Saccharomyces cerevisiae S288C: one gene and its partners. Changing the gene in region 3 together with the main gene of any one other region gives a genetic interaction. Each region holds a gene or a part of one and is shown on either strand. Other genes may lie near its edges.

Region 1 (2,572 bases), on a different chromosome or scaffold from region 3:
GTAGGGTGCATTTTCATTCCTGTTGCCTCAATGTGTTTTCTATCTGTATTTACGTGATTTTATGAAGTGGTGGCATCGCTTAGATGTGGTGCATAATTAGAGACTAATTTTTGAAACCACGCATGAATGTCAAGTAATTCTAACTGAGCATCTGTCATCAATGGCACTTGCAACTTCAAAAAATCCCACCAATATTTTGACGGCACCAATTTACCTTTGAATTTTATTTGAGTTTTCCTTGTTAATCTTGCATTCAGAATTCCATAGAAAAAGAATTTTTCAAATGGAATTATATTTGTAGAGTGAGAAAAACATCCATCACAAGTGCAGTTATCCGGAGGACATATGCATTCCTTGTCAGTGCATTTACAATCATCCAAATAATCCATCATCTTATCAGTAATTTGAGCTTCACCAATATTGGTTAAAGGAACACCACTTTGTTGAATATAAGAATTCAGTTCCTCTTCGCTTCTATGGATTAGACAATTAACACATGGGCAGCTTTCATCTTCACAAGAGCACTGCGTGCTTAAAAAAATGCCCTTATGAGTCAGGACTTCAACTTTCGAAGCAACGTCGCTTGAATGAGGAGCAGCAATCGTTGTTGTACTTTGTGGGGTGAGTGTTTCTGAACTGTCATGCGCACCAGGAACAGAACTATTGTAGTTTTCTTGTAAAATATCGTTAAAAGCGGACGTAGATTCCAAGGAGCCGTATGGCGTAAATATGTCATCAGACGGTGCCTTGTTCGTCTTGCCATTAGAAGCTGGGTTCTGTGATTTATCTTTCTTACAGCAGTTTGAAAAATGTCGTATAGGCTCCTGTTGAAGCCGGCTTCGCTCTTTCTTCTCACTTGAAGAAGATGACTTGGTAGAGTCCGGAGATATTGTTCCTGTTGCCGGAGCTTTGGGAGAGTGTTTCCTAAGAAACTCCGTTTCGGTGATATATTTGTTACCATCATCGGTAAATGTGCTAATATCTTTAGGCTCATGAGCAGTGAAACCTTCCTCCATTAATATATGCAATTTTCCGTTTATCATTCTTGCCTTTCTAACAGCAGAGGCACGTACAAACAGTATTGGCTGTTGATTCATTGCGCTGCAGCAGTCACCTTCAATTTGTGCACCATTTTCGTATTCTGTACTTTGCGATGTAGAGTCTACTAAAATAGCGTCTCTGATAGCCATGGGTGAAGGTCTTCCTCTAGTTCTCACCTTAATTAGCATTCGGTGAGAATGCCTGCATGTTGAAGAGCGATGCCCTCTGATGCACGATGCACACGCATATTTGTTCCCATTAAATATTATCATCTCTGATAGAGCTTGAAGAACTTACCAGACTGTTTCAAGTTTAAAACAAGGCGCCTCATCGCATCTACCTCACGAAGATGCAGCAGCTTATTGTCTCGAGATCCTTCTTATAACTCCTTTTCGCCATTACCCGAAAACGAGATTACAGCCTCTAAACCAAGAGCTCGAAAAGCGCCAAAGTAAACTCTGGCGTTTAGCGTACGAAGGAGATTATCCTAAAAGGAACTTCCCTAGTAATAGTGTAATTTGGAAGGGCATAGCATGTCGAAAACCGCTCAGAAACGTCTCCTCAAGGAGCTTCAACAGTTAATTAAAGATTCTCCACCTGGTATAGTGGCTGGTCCCAAATCGGAGAATAACATATTCATTTGGGACTGCCTAATTCAAGGGCCTCCAGATACGCCATACGCTGATGGTGTTTTTAATGCTAAGCTAGAGTTTCCTAAAGACTATCCGTTATCTCCACCTAAACTTACTTTCACACCCAGCATACTACATCCAAATATTTATCCAAATGGGGAAGTGTGCATATCCATTCTACACTCCCCTGGTGATGATCCTAACATGTACGAATTAGCGGAAGAAAGATGGTCGCCAGTGCAAAGTGTAGAAAAAATTCTATTAAGTGTTATGAGCATGTTGAGTGAGCCCAATATCGAAAGTGGTGCCAACATTGATGCTTGCATCTTGTGGAGAGATAATAGACCTGAATTTGAGAGACAGGTAAAGTTATCCATTTTGAAATCATTAGGATTCTGAAAGCAGGTAGCAGGTTAATGATCATTTGGTCTTCCTTTTAACTGTTCTCTATATACATAAATAAGCATATCTACCATCTAAAAGAAAGCAAATGTCACATAATAAATATGTTAAAATCTCAATGTCTTCCTGGCTTTTCAGGAATTCAAACCATTTCCATTTCGTTGGTGTATAATCAGGGGCCCCTCTACTCTCACCTCTCTGTACCGAAGCGTTAATCAATTTTCTTTTATTTATATACACGATGATTGTAACTAGGTTATTTTCCTATACAAAATTTGCTGAACACTGAATCTAAGATTTCCTCAATACCAATAGCTTGTCCTGTTATCTTAGCTATTCCATCGGATGCATACCTCAAATTTTCTGTGGCCAATACTATATCATTATGGAAATCTTTGGATTTGAAAAACTCTTCCAAGCCGTACAGTACGTCGTTTTTGAGAATCTCTGACACTCTTTTGGAAACAATGACAGGACTTGCATCGGCACTTGATTGA
Region 2 (4,835 bases), on a different chromosome or scaffold from region 3:
GGTTAGCGAGGTCATATCATTAATGGTCTCAGTGTCATATAATAATATATTTTCCAAGTCATTGTAGCCAAAACCTATCTTATAAAAGGAATTAAAGAATCCCTTTATAAATTCAATATCTGAATCAATGCATAAATCTCCGAGATTGATATCCCATTGACAAAAGTAGGTAGGTTCTGTGGGTGGTAATCCATACATTCTATGTCCATGAATGGTGAGGTCCGAAAGCAATCCGTGCTCTTGCTCATCAGCTCCGTTATTACGACGTATAAAATCAAATACTTCATTTATTTGTTTTGAAACGTGCCGCTTTATTGAAGTCCCGTTGAGAACCGCCATTATGTCCATATAATAATTACAACTTCTGAAATCCACTACAAGTTCGGCAAAATGTAGTGCAATGCATGGATCAAAACTGTAAATCGTTTCTGGTAATATCAGAGCACCATCCCAAACCGAAAATGTGAACCAAATATCAGTTTCGTTGGTAGTCCTTTTCAAATCTGACCTTTTCATAGGACCTTTATCCTCAGATTCGTTCTTTAGACTGCTATTTTGGTACCCTGAATCTACAGTAGATGCCAAATCTGCCACCGAGCTTTTCGTAGTGACATCTCCGACTTCCCTAGCGCCAAGGACACCTGTGTACTCTTCTGACGTCACAAAATTAAAAAATTCACCGAAGTAATTCATCTTTACGTTTGTTAAATACCTCATGACAAACCCATAGCAGTGAAGTACTGTACTCTTGCTGTTACACTCTATGACTAGCGTATCGACATTATCAATATCTAACTCGGAATAGAGAAGGTAAGAACCTTTAATTGTAAAGTCGTATGCTCTCCCCACTTCTTTATGTTTCATGAATTCGTTCAATGTATTCCAAGGGGGGGTATTTAACATCATTCTGAACATTGGAGTTGAGATCTCGTAGGACATATCTGTGTATGTCCCCAAAATACTCTCACGGGGTACCGTGACATCAATTGAAAGCTTATCACCATGAAGGGATAAATAACAGTTTTCGTTAAAATCTAACGGATTGTTAACAATATTGTGATCATTGACGTTTAAGTAAATGGAATATCCTTCCATTTCCCAATTGACTTTGTATACGAATGGTCTAAAAAGTTCGTAAGGCGTAGGATCACCAGCGGAAAAGTCTGAAAGCGTATCTGCAACTAAAGTTATATGCTCACGTAGCAGAAACGCCTCTAATTGTTCTGACTTCATGTTAATTATCCATATAGCTTTGCTATTCCAACCCAATGGATATCCAATATCCCCATCAATATCGAATACCTTGCTTTTTAACAAAATATCGTGATTAACACTTGACCTAATTTCGGTTTCCAGGAAATGAACATGGAAATTATTCTGAAAACCTTGCACTGTAGGACAAACACTTATATTGAAATTTGCATAGGTGTCCTTACAAAATCGGAGATCCATCCATCCAAATGGCCTATATTCTTCATTAGTTTCTTTGTAGTGTTTCAAAAATTCGGGGTCTTTGCTACTTTCCCTCGTCGGTATACGCCAAGTAGTATCTTCCATTATTGATATATTCATCCTGAAAAGTGTATATATTCTTCTAGAACCTGGCGGGAGTTTTTTTATAGGTTTGGCTGTCCTTGAAACTACCGGTGATAGAACTCTTTGTAGATGACTGACTTGTCTTTGAGCCCAAGGTCCGTAACAGATGGATCCTCCGTGAATTTGAACATCTAAAGCAAAATCTGGAGGTGCTCCGTTATTGCCCACATCTGGTCCATCAATATCAGGTATTGTCGGATGTGCACCATGTGGCACAACGCCCGGAACATCCACGTCATATGCAATTGTGACCTTTGGGCATTTTAAAATTGATGTAAATTTAGCATATTCATGGTTCGTCAAATCGAACTCAACATCATCTAAATCACTTGCTTTAGCGTCGCCCGCAGAAGCCTTATAAAGAGATAAACCTTTCCATTTATGATAGAAATTGTCATCTGATGTGCCTGCGCTTTTTTTAGTCTTTTTCGGTACAACAGGCTTGGTTACTATCTGAAAGACTCGTACAAACGTTTTCCATAACTTTGACACTTTCCCTCTATCTATTTTAAACTTCAATCCAATAGCATCATCGTAACCAATATTTTGTTTGATAGAAATTTCGAAGTTTTTGAATTCCATCTGTGTTTTATTTCTGTATAAATCTAATCGCTCTTTTGGAGGTAAAACATCTATTATGCCTTTTCCACTTTCATAACTTAGAATCATAACAGATGGCGTGAATTTGTTTCCTAACAGTAGGGAACCGCGGCTAAATTTAAGCTCAATTGGTAAAAACATCAGTAGCTTTGGATGTTTGCCGATATCTGTTTCTTGGTAGTCCCTGTCATTAACAATTGATGCATCAGAGTTCGTTGTGTATGCAGATTCGCTTAGATCTTCATCTAATTTATCAGCACTACTTCCATCGCTAAAAGGTTCAGGAAAAGAATGCTCATTAAGGTATTTTTCAAATTTATCGCGTTCATCTTTTGATAGTAAGTTTATAACATTATCGTACGCCACTGTTCTGTTGTAAATAAAAATTTCTAGACCTTCACATTCTACGGAAATTTTACAGGGAAGCTTTGCTTTTTTGCCAGAAGAAGACTTGTTATTCTCTATCAATTCTGCTTTTCTGCAATTTAAAAGCCAGTATTTCCATGTTAAACTACCCTCTAATACCGAAATTGTATAATCTTTGTGTATTACGGAAAGGTTTTTAAAATGTATTCGACCACCTAGTAAGGAGACACGAAGTGTCTCAACATTTATCTTGATTTTCGCTCGTTTCCATAGTAGCCATTCTAATATAAAACTTACAAGGTATGCATAGATTCTTCCCATGTAGAATATCATTGTCAAACATACTACTACCGTGAGAATCCAATCTACTAAAAAGACCCAGCTAAAGTCCTTTTGGTGTGTCAATGGAACACCACGTAATTGTGAAATAGCTTCCATGCTTGCTAACTTATTACCGTCAATAGAAGACTTGAGTCAGGTGGCTTTAATGAGTACTATTCTTTTTTTTTTTCCAAAGAGCACTATGTTGATAATACCGCAGTAATTTTTTTTGAGTATCCTGTAGCCTAGAAAGGTTGAAGCTTATAAAACCGTGCCAACAGCTTTATAGTGGGGAGTTTGGCTTCCCTCTATTTGTATATTGATCGCCATCCCTACGAAGTTATTGGGAACGCATCGTGAACCTCTCACTTTAATGCCAGCGGTAGAAAAAAAAGTCATAAACAATACACGCCGGCTACACTTAGAAAGAAATGACATTTGCTGTCTTATAAAAGGACTTGACAGACCAAAGACGCGTATAATACACCAAGAATGGCCTTATTGGAGAAGTTGCATCGAAGGATTGTTGATATGGGGCTTGTCCCGCGTATAATCGCCTTATTACCAGTTATTTCCATGCTATGCGCTCTATTTGGGTTTATTTCTATAGCTATTCTGCCTATGGATGGACAGTACAGAAGAACATACATTTCTGAGAATGCATTGATGCCTTCACAAGCGTATAGTTACTTTAGAGAATCTGAATGGAACATTTTGAGGGGCTATCGATCTCAAATTAAAGAAATGGTAAACATGACTTCTATGGAAAGAAACAATTTGATGGGTTCTTGGTTACAAGAATTTGGTACTAAGACTGCTATTTACGAAAATGAACAATATGGAGAAACATTGTACGGTGTAATGCACGCTCCTAGGGGTGATGGAACAGAAGCGATGGTGCTTGCCGTTCCATGGTTTAATTCAGATGATGAATTCAATATTGGCGGCGCAGCTTTGGGTGTATCTTTAGCAAGATTTTTCTCACGTTGGCCAGTATGGTCCAAGAATATAATTGTTGTCTTCAGCGAAAATCCTCGTGCAGCATTAAGATCATGGGTTGAGGCATACCATACTTCCTTAGATTTGACTGGTGGTTCCATTGAAGCTGCTGTTGTGTTGGATTATTCGAGTACGGAAGATTTCTTCGAGTATGTAGAAATCTCATACGACGGTCTGAATGGTGAGCTGCCCAATTTGGATCTTGTCAACATCGCTATATCCATTACGGAACATGAAGGTATGAAAGTTTCTTTGCACGGTCTACCCAGTGATCAGTTAACTAATAATAATTTCTGGTCAAGATTAAAAATATTATGCCTGGGAATAAGGGATTGGGCGTTGTCCGGTGTTAAAAAGCCCCATGGTAACGAGGCATTTAGCGGCTGGAGGATTCAATCTGTAACATTGAAAGCACATGGAAACAGTGGTCATGATATTACTACATTTGGACGTATACCCGAAGCAATGTTTCGCTCTATTAATAACCTTTTGGAAAAATTTCACCAATCGTTCTTCTTTTATTTGTTATTAGCACCACGTCAGTTCGTATCCATTAGTAGTTATTTGCCAAGCGCTGTGGCTTTATCTATAGCATTCGCCATAAGTTCATTAAATGCATTTATAAACAATGCTTATGCAAATATATCCTTATTTTCCGAGTATAATTTGGTAGCGTTGTTGGTTTGGTTCGTGTCATTGGTGATATCATTTGTTGTTTCACAAGCGTTTCTTCTAATACCTTCATCGGGATTATTGATGACAATTAGCATGGCATCTTGTTTTTTACCTTTGATACTTTCCAGAAAAATTCACATCTCAGAACCACTATCATACAGGTTGAAAAATGTTGCTTTTTTATATTTCAGTTTGGTTTCAACATCTTTGCTAATGATAAACTTTGCAATGGCTTTACTGATCGGCACATTGGCATTTCCTATGACATTTGTGAAGAC
Region 3 (4,893 bases):
TTTGTTCTCTTGCGTGATTATACCACTGTACCAAGGATTGTCCAACTTCTATCTAAATCGCATAACGCTCATGTCAGATGTGGTACCGCATTTGCTCTTGGGATTGCTTGTGCCGGCAAGGGTTTACAATCAGCTATTGACGTTTTAGATCCGCTAACAAAGGACCCAGTAGATTTTGTTCGTCAGGCTGCCATGATAGCTTTATCCATGATTTTGATTCAACAAACAGAAAAACTAAACCCTCAAGTTGCTGATATTAACAAAAATTTTTTGAGCGTGATTACAAACAAACACCAAGAAGGTTTAGCCAAATTCGGTGCATGTGTGGCCCAAGGTATAATGAATGCCGGTGGGCGTAATGTTACAATTCAGCTGGAAAATGCGGATACAGGCACATTGGATACCAAGTCCGTAGTTGGTTTGGTCATGTTCTCACAATTCTGGTACTGGTTCCCACTGGCTCACTTTTTATCCCTTTCTTTTACACCAACAACTGTCATTGGTATTCGTGGTAGCGATCAAGCTATACCCAAATTTCAAATGAATTGTTACGCTAAAGAAGATGCATTCAGTTATCCGAGGATGTATGAGGAAGCAAGTGGTAAGGAGGTAGAGAAGGTAGCAACAGCTGTTCTTTCCACGACAGCAAGAGCAAAAGCAAGGGCAAAGAAGACAAAGAAGGAAAAGGGTCCAAATGAGGAAGAAAAGAAAAAAGAGCATGAGGAAAAAGAAAAGGAAAGAGAGACGAATAAAAAAGGCATAAAAGAAACAAAAGAAAACGACGAAGAATTTTACAAAAATAAGTACTCTTCTAAACCTTATAAAGTCGACAATATGACCCGTATACTACCACAACAATCGAGATATATTTCCTTTATTAAGGACGACAGATTTGTTCCTGTACGTAAATTCAAAGGAAATAACGGTGTGGTGGTTTTAAGAGATAGGGAACCCAAGGAACCTGTAGCACTAATTGAAACTGTTAGGCAAATGAAAGATGTTAACGCTCCACTTCCAACCCCATTTAAGGTCGATGATAATGTCGACTTCCCTAGTGCTTAGATCAAGGGTGCATGGTCGTACAGAAAATGAAGAATTAGTTCAAAATGCCAGAAAATAAATAATAGTGTACATACTTTTAAAAAAAAATCATTGAATTATTCTGCCAGGATTAGCTACTTTACGCATAATTCTAACGTGACAAATGTTGTTTCCGCTTTGTTAATTATACTTTATATGATTTTGTTCAAGCCATGTCAACCTCATTTATGGTACCATCTTATTCGGCTTTATCAAAATAGTATATAGGCATATACATGAAATATTTTTTTCTTTTTCTAAAAAACCTACATGTTTAATGTGAGATATTACGTAAATCAGTTGGACGTATCATATTTCCTCACTAATTCATCGAATTTTGCGTCAATTTCTTGGTGATGCTTGATGAATGCATGTTCGTGATCCAATTTAACCAATTGATTTGTTAAATCTTCAGTATCAAGACCTTGCATAAGAGCAAGCGTAATTTGGTTTGCTAAGAAAGTAGGTTTGTACAATACGGCGTTTTCTTTTTGTTCGACGCTATAGTAGTCAGATAGTAATAGCTCGACAATACCCTGAGCTTCAGCTATGTTTCTTTGCTGTAAATGCAAATTGAGCAATCCCAATTGAGTTTTCCAAGTAGGAAAGGTTTGAGATAGCTCTTCATAGTAGTAAAAGTTGGATGTTGCCGTTTCTTTGTTTGTGGCAAATTTAATGTACGATTCAGCCAGGTTTAAAATCATTTCGTTGTCACCGGAAACAGTATCCTCAATAGCATTAGTGTAGTTATCAAAGATGGTGGACGCGGTCGAAACGTTGTTGTTTAACAAAGCGACTTCGATGGCAAGCAGCAATAATTCTGTAGTCCCTTCTGCTTCGTCATTGTCAATCCCTTCTACACATGTCTCCAAACTTTTATCTAAGTCACCCAAGATAGCTTGAGCCGTGGCTAACAGATATAATTCATATGGTGAATTCTGTTTATCCTTTAACAAATTTTCTAATTCTTCAATGTTTTTTGTATCTAAGAACTGGACGTACAAGTCTAGTACCTTGCCAAGCTTAGAGGTAGGATCTTGTGATTGATATTGGCCTAGAGCTAAAAGGGTTTTCGCCTTGTAGAATAATAAGGTGTTATCTGTGACCTTGCTAAACTTCTCTATTTCCTGCAAACATTGCACGAAGTTCCCCGTGTAGTAATTCTGCTTGATATTAAAGTAATCCATGATTTTTTGTCTGTTTCTATGTTCTCCACCGAGTTCTTCACAATCCGTTCTTATACTGTAGCTTGACGTGTTTTTCTGTAGAAACTGTAGTTTTTCGCTTGACAAAAAACTGAAAAAGAACCAACAAAAAATTAAGATCACCTTAAAAATTAAAAATAGAATATCTTTATCCCATTGAAGACGCTGCATACGCACCTATACAGCAAGACAAAAGATTTTATACAACATTACGGTTCCAATTGAATGTAATGTTACTATATAGTGTGGACACTAAAGAGTGAGATCAGCGGGCGTCCTGATCGTTGCGTTGGAGCCATCTCCTGAATTCCATTTTAGCAACTATTGTTCCGGTATAACCTCTTTTGCAGCCTAGAATGTTGTGAGTACTAAGACAGATACCATTTCACCAGCTTGTGGCTCCCAATTCTTTGACATCAGCAGCACGCTGCTACAGTCGATCTTTGACGAGACGAATTTTAATAGCTAGCGTAACAATCCGTAACAGGAAATTTCGTTCATAGTTACTTGTTTATACATTATTTCCTTCTTTTTCTGTGTTTTTATTTCCGCGGGTGTAAGTCAAGCAAGGGTGAAAGCCTTATGAGCTAATGCTACTTTGACGCAGAACAGAACTTTTTATGTGTCAATGCTTAATATGATTTTCGTTTTAAGGAGCAGCCTAATTTCAAGCGTAGAACAAGGTGATGTTGGGAAAAGAAGAAGAACAGCAATATGGCCAGAATGGTAAGGGAATGGAAAATGAACTACCCTTTATGAAGAGGCCTTGGTTTAAAAAGGCTTATGAAAATGCTATTGAATTTCATGAAAAAGACGAATTGCTGGATGCAAGAGACAGGCTGGAGTTATCGAAGGCCTATAGATCCATTGCTAAAGCTGAGATGTGGGGTGGTTGGCTTGGGTTTTCAGCTGTATTTTTAACTCCATTTGCCTATCGTTACTACAAGACCAAGGCTATTAAAGGTGTTAAGGTGCCGAGGAATTTTGTCTTGGGTGTAATGGCTTTATTTTTTGCTACAAATTTTGCTGGTAGGTCCATGTATACACGACAGTTGAACGAACGTGACCCCACAGGTGTTTTGAAGGATAACTATTCCAACAAATATGGTGACAACGACTTTGGAGCCTTTCAACATGATCAAACAAAAGAAATTCCGAGAAATCAAAGGCAGTACAATATGATGCGCTTATTAGATTCAGGCTCCCCCTCAAGGTGGTCGATGTACTTTTACATAACGTACCAAAATCCGGAGAGAAGATTGCCAGACCCGAAAGTCAAACTGCAGCAAATGAAAAAAGGCGGAGTTTTTAACGGCTCGCCCTTTATGAACCAAAGGGATCCTATAGGATTGTATCGTAATAAGGGTAGAAAATCTCCTGACCCAATTGAAGGAGAGCAAAACGACAGTCCTGTTCTGTCTTCCTGGGAAAAAATCAGGAACGGCGACAACAGTTCGTCTTCATCATGGGAAAATATAAGGAACACCAGTAGAGATCAGTCGCAGGAATCAGATGCTTCAGTGGATCATGAATCCGATATATTTATCTCAGGATTTTCTGACGATGGTAATGCTACCGATAATTCCTCTTCTGATGACAAATATCAGCGTTTACTGCAGAGCGGGAGATATGGTGGGAACCGCTCCTAGACGACGGAGTAATAATAGCGTATGGTCACTAATTTGTATATAGGTATATGTTTGGGCCAAATTCGGCGGGTTCCTGAATTTGTTTTTATATATTCGTAACTTAAACACTGCCGGTGAACACCATCTGCATACCAAATTGCTTTCTTCCATATTGAATTCGCGCACATCTTATCGAAGGAAAAAAAAAGAAGAAATAGTTAATAGAGGTAAGATTCCTTCATCATACTCATTTTATTCTTTACAAAACATAAATTAAATAAGTCAAAATTTAACTACATAAAATCTCATTAAGCTAAGACGTTGTCACCTCTCTTTTCATCTTTCAAGTTACGCAACTGTTTCAAAACTTCTTCAACAGAAACAGTAGCATTTTTACCCTGTTGTTCCATAACGTCTCTGTTTCTAATGTTAACAGATTTTTCATTCATTTCTTGTTCACCAACAATAAAAATGAAGTTATATTTTAGCATTTGCCCGTTTCTGACCTTCTTTTGCAGAGTGTTACCGGTCAAATCGACATCGGCATAGAAGCCAGCATCGTGCAATTTGTTACGGACGTCTTCAGCATACCCTTGGTACTTGACACCAACTGGCACAACCAAAACTTGACGTGGTGATAACCAAAATGGCCATTTACCAGCAAAATGCTCGGTCAAAATGGCAGTCATTCTTTCAACAGACCCTAAAATGGCACGATGGATCATGACCGGTCTTTCGTAACTCTCGCTATCTTGATCTTTAGATTTAAATTCCAATTCGAACCTGTTTGGCAATTGGAAATCTAATTGGATGGTGGCACATTGATGCCATCTTCTTAAAGCGTCAGAAATCATAATGTCAATCTTTGGACCGTAGAAAGCACCATCACCAGCATTGATCTCCCAGTTACCACCCCATTTCTTTAAGGCAGATTCTAATTTTGATTCAGCGGCATCCCAGGTTTCGATCTTTCCAACGTA

The links. A genetic interaction does not mean that the proteins touch.
Region 1: mutations in SEC28 (region 3) and UBC7 together harm fitness less than expected from each alone (positive genetic interaction), as found in Saccharomyces cerevisiae (4 studies listed by BioGRID).
Region 2: mutations in SEC28 (region 3) and CSF1 together harm fitness more than expected from each alone (negative genetic interaction), as found in Saccharomyces cerevisiae (3 studies listed by BioGRID).

Annotation. Positions count from the first base shown.
Region 1 is NC_001145.3:317,106-319,677, forward strand, and holds UBC7 (E2 ubiquitin-conjugating protein UBC7), read left to right. Parts: upstream 1-1,574; coding exon 1,575-2,072; downstream 2,073-2,572. Other genes in the region: MAC1 (Mac1p), read right to left, coding at 60-1,313; MSS1 (Mss1p), read right to left, coding at 2,332-2,572.
Region 2 is NC_001144.5:312,732-317,566, forward strand, and holds the start of CSF1 (Csf1p), read right to left. Parts: upstream 3,001-4,835; coding exon 1-3,000. Other genes in the region: GPI-anchor transamidase subunit GAA1, read left to right, coding at 3,376-4,835. UniProt on the Saccharomyces cerevisiae protein: Tube-forming lipid transport protein which provides phosphatidylethanolamine for glycosylphosphatidylinositol (GPI) anchor synthesis in the endoplasmic reticulum. Required for the glucose and other nutrients uptake at low temperature.
Region 3 is NC_001141.2:214,032-218,924, reverse strand, and holds SEC28 (coatomer subunit epsilon), read right to left. Parts: upstream 2,268-4,893; coding exon 1,377-2,267; downstream 1-1,376. Other genes in the region: proteasome regulatory particle base subunit RPN2, read left to right, coding at 1-1,062; RCI37 (Rci37p), read left to right, coding at 2,972-3,934; threonine--tRNA ligase THS1, read right to left, coding at 4,222-4,893. UniProt on the Saccharomyces cerevisiae protein: The coatomer is a cytosolic protein complex that binds to dilysine motifs and reversibly associates with Golgi non-clathrin-coated vesicles, which further mediate biosynthetic protein transport from the ER, via the Golgi up to the trans Golgi network.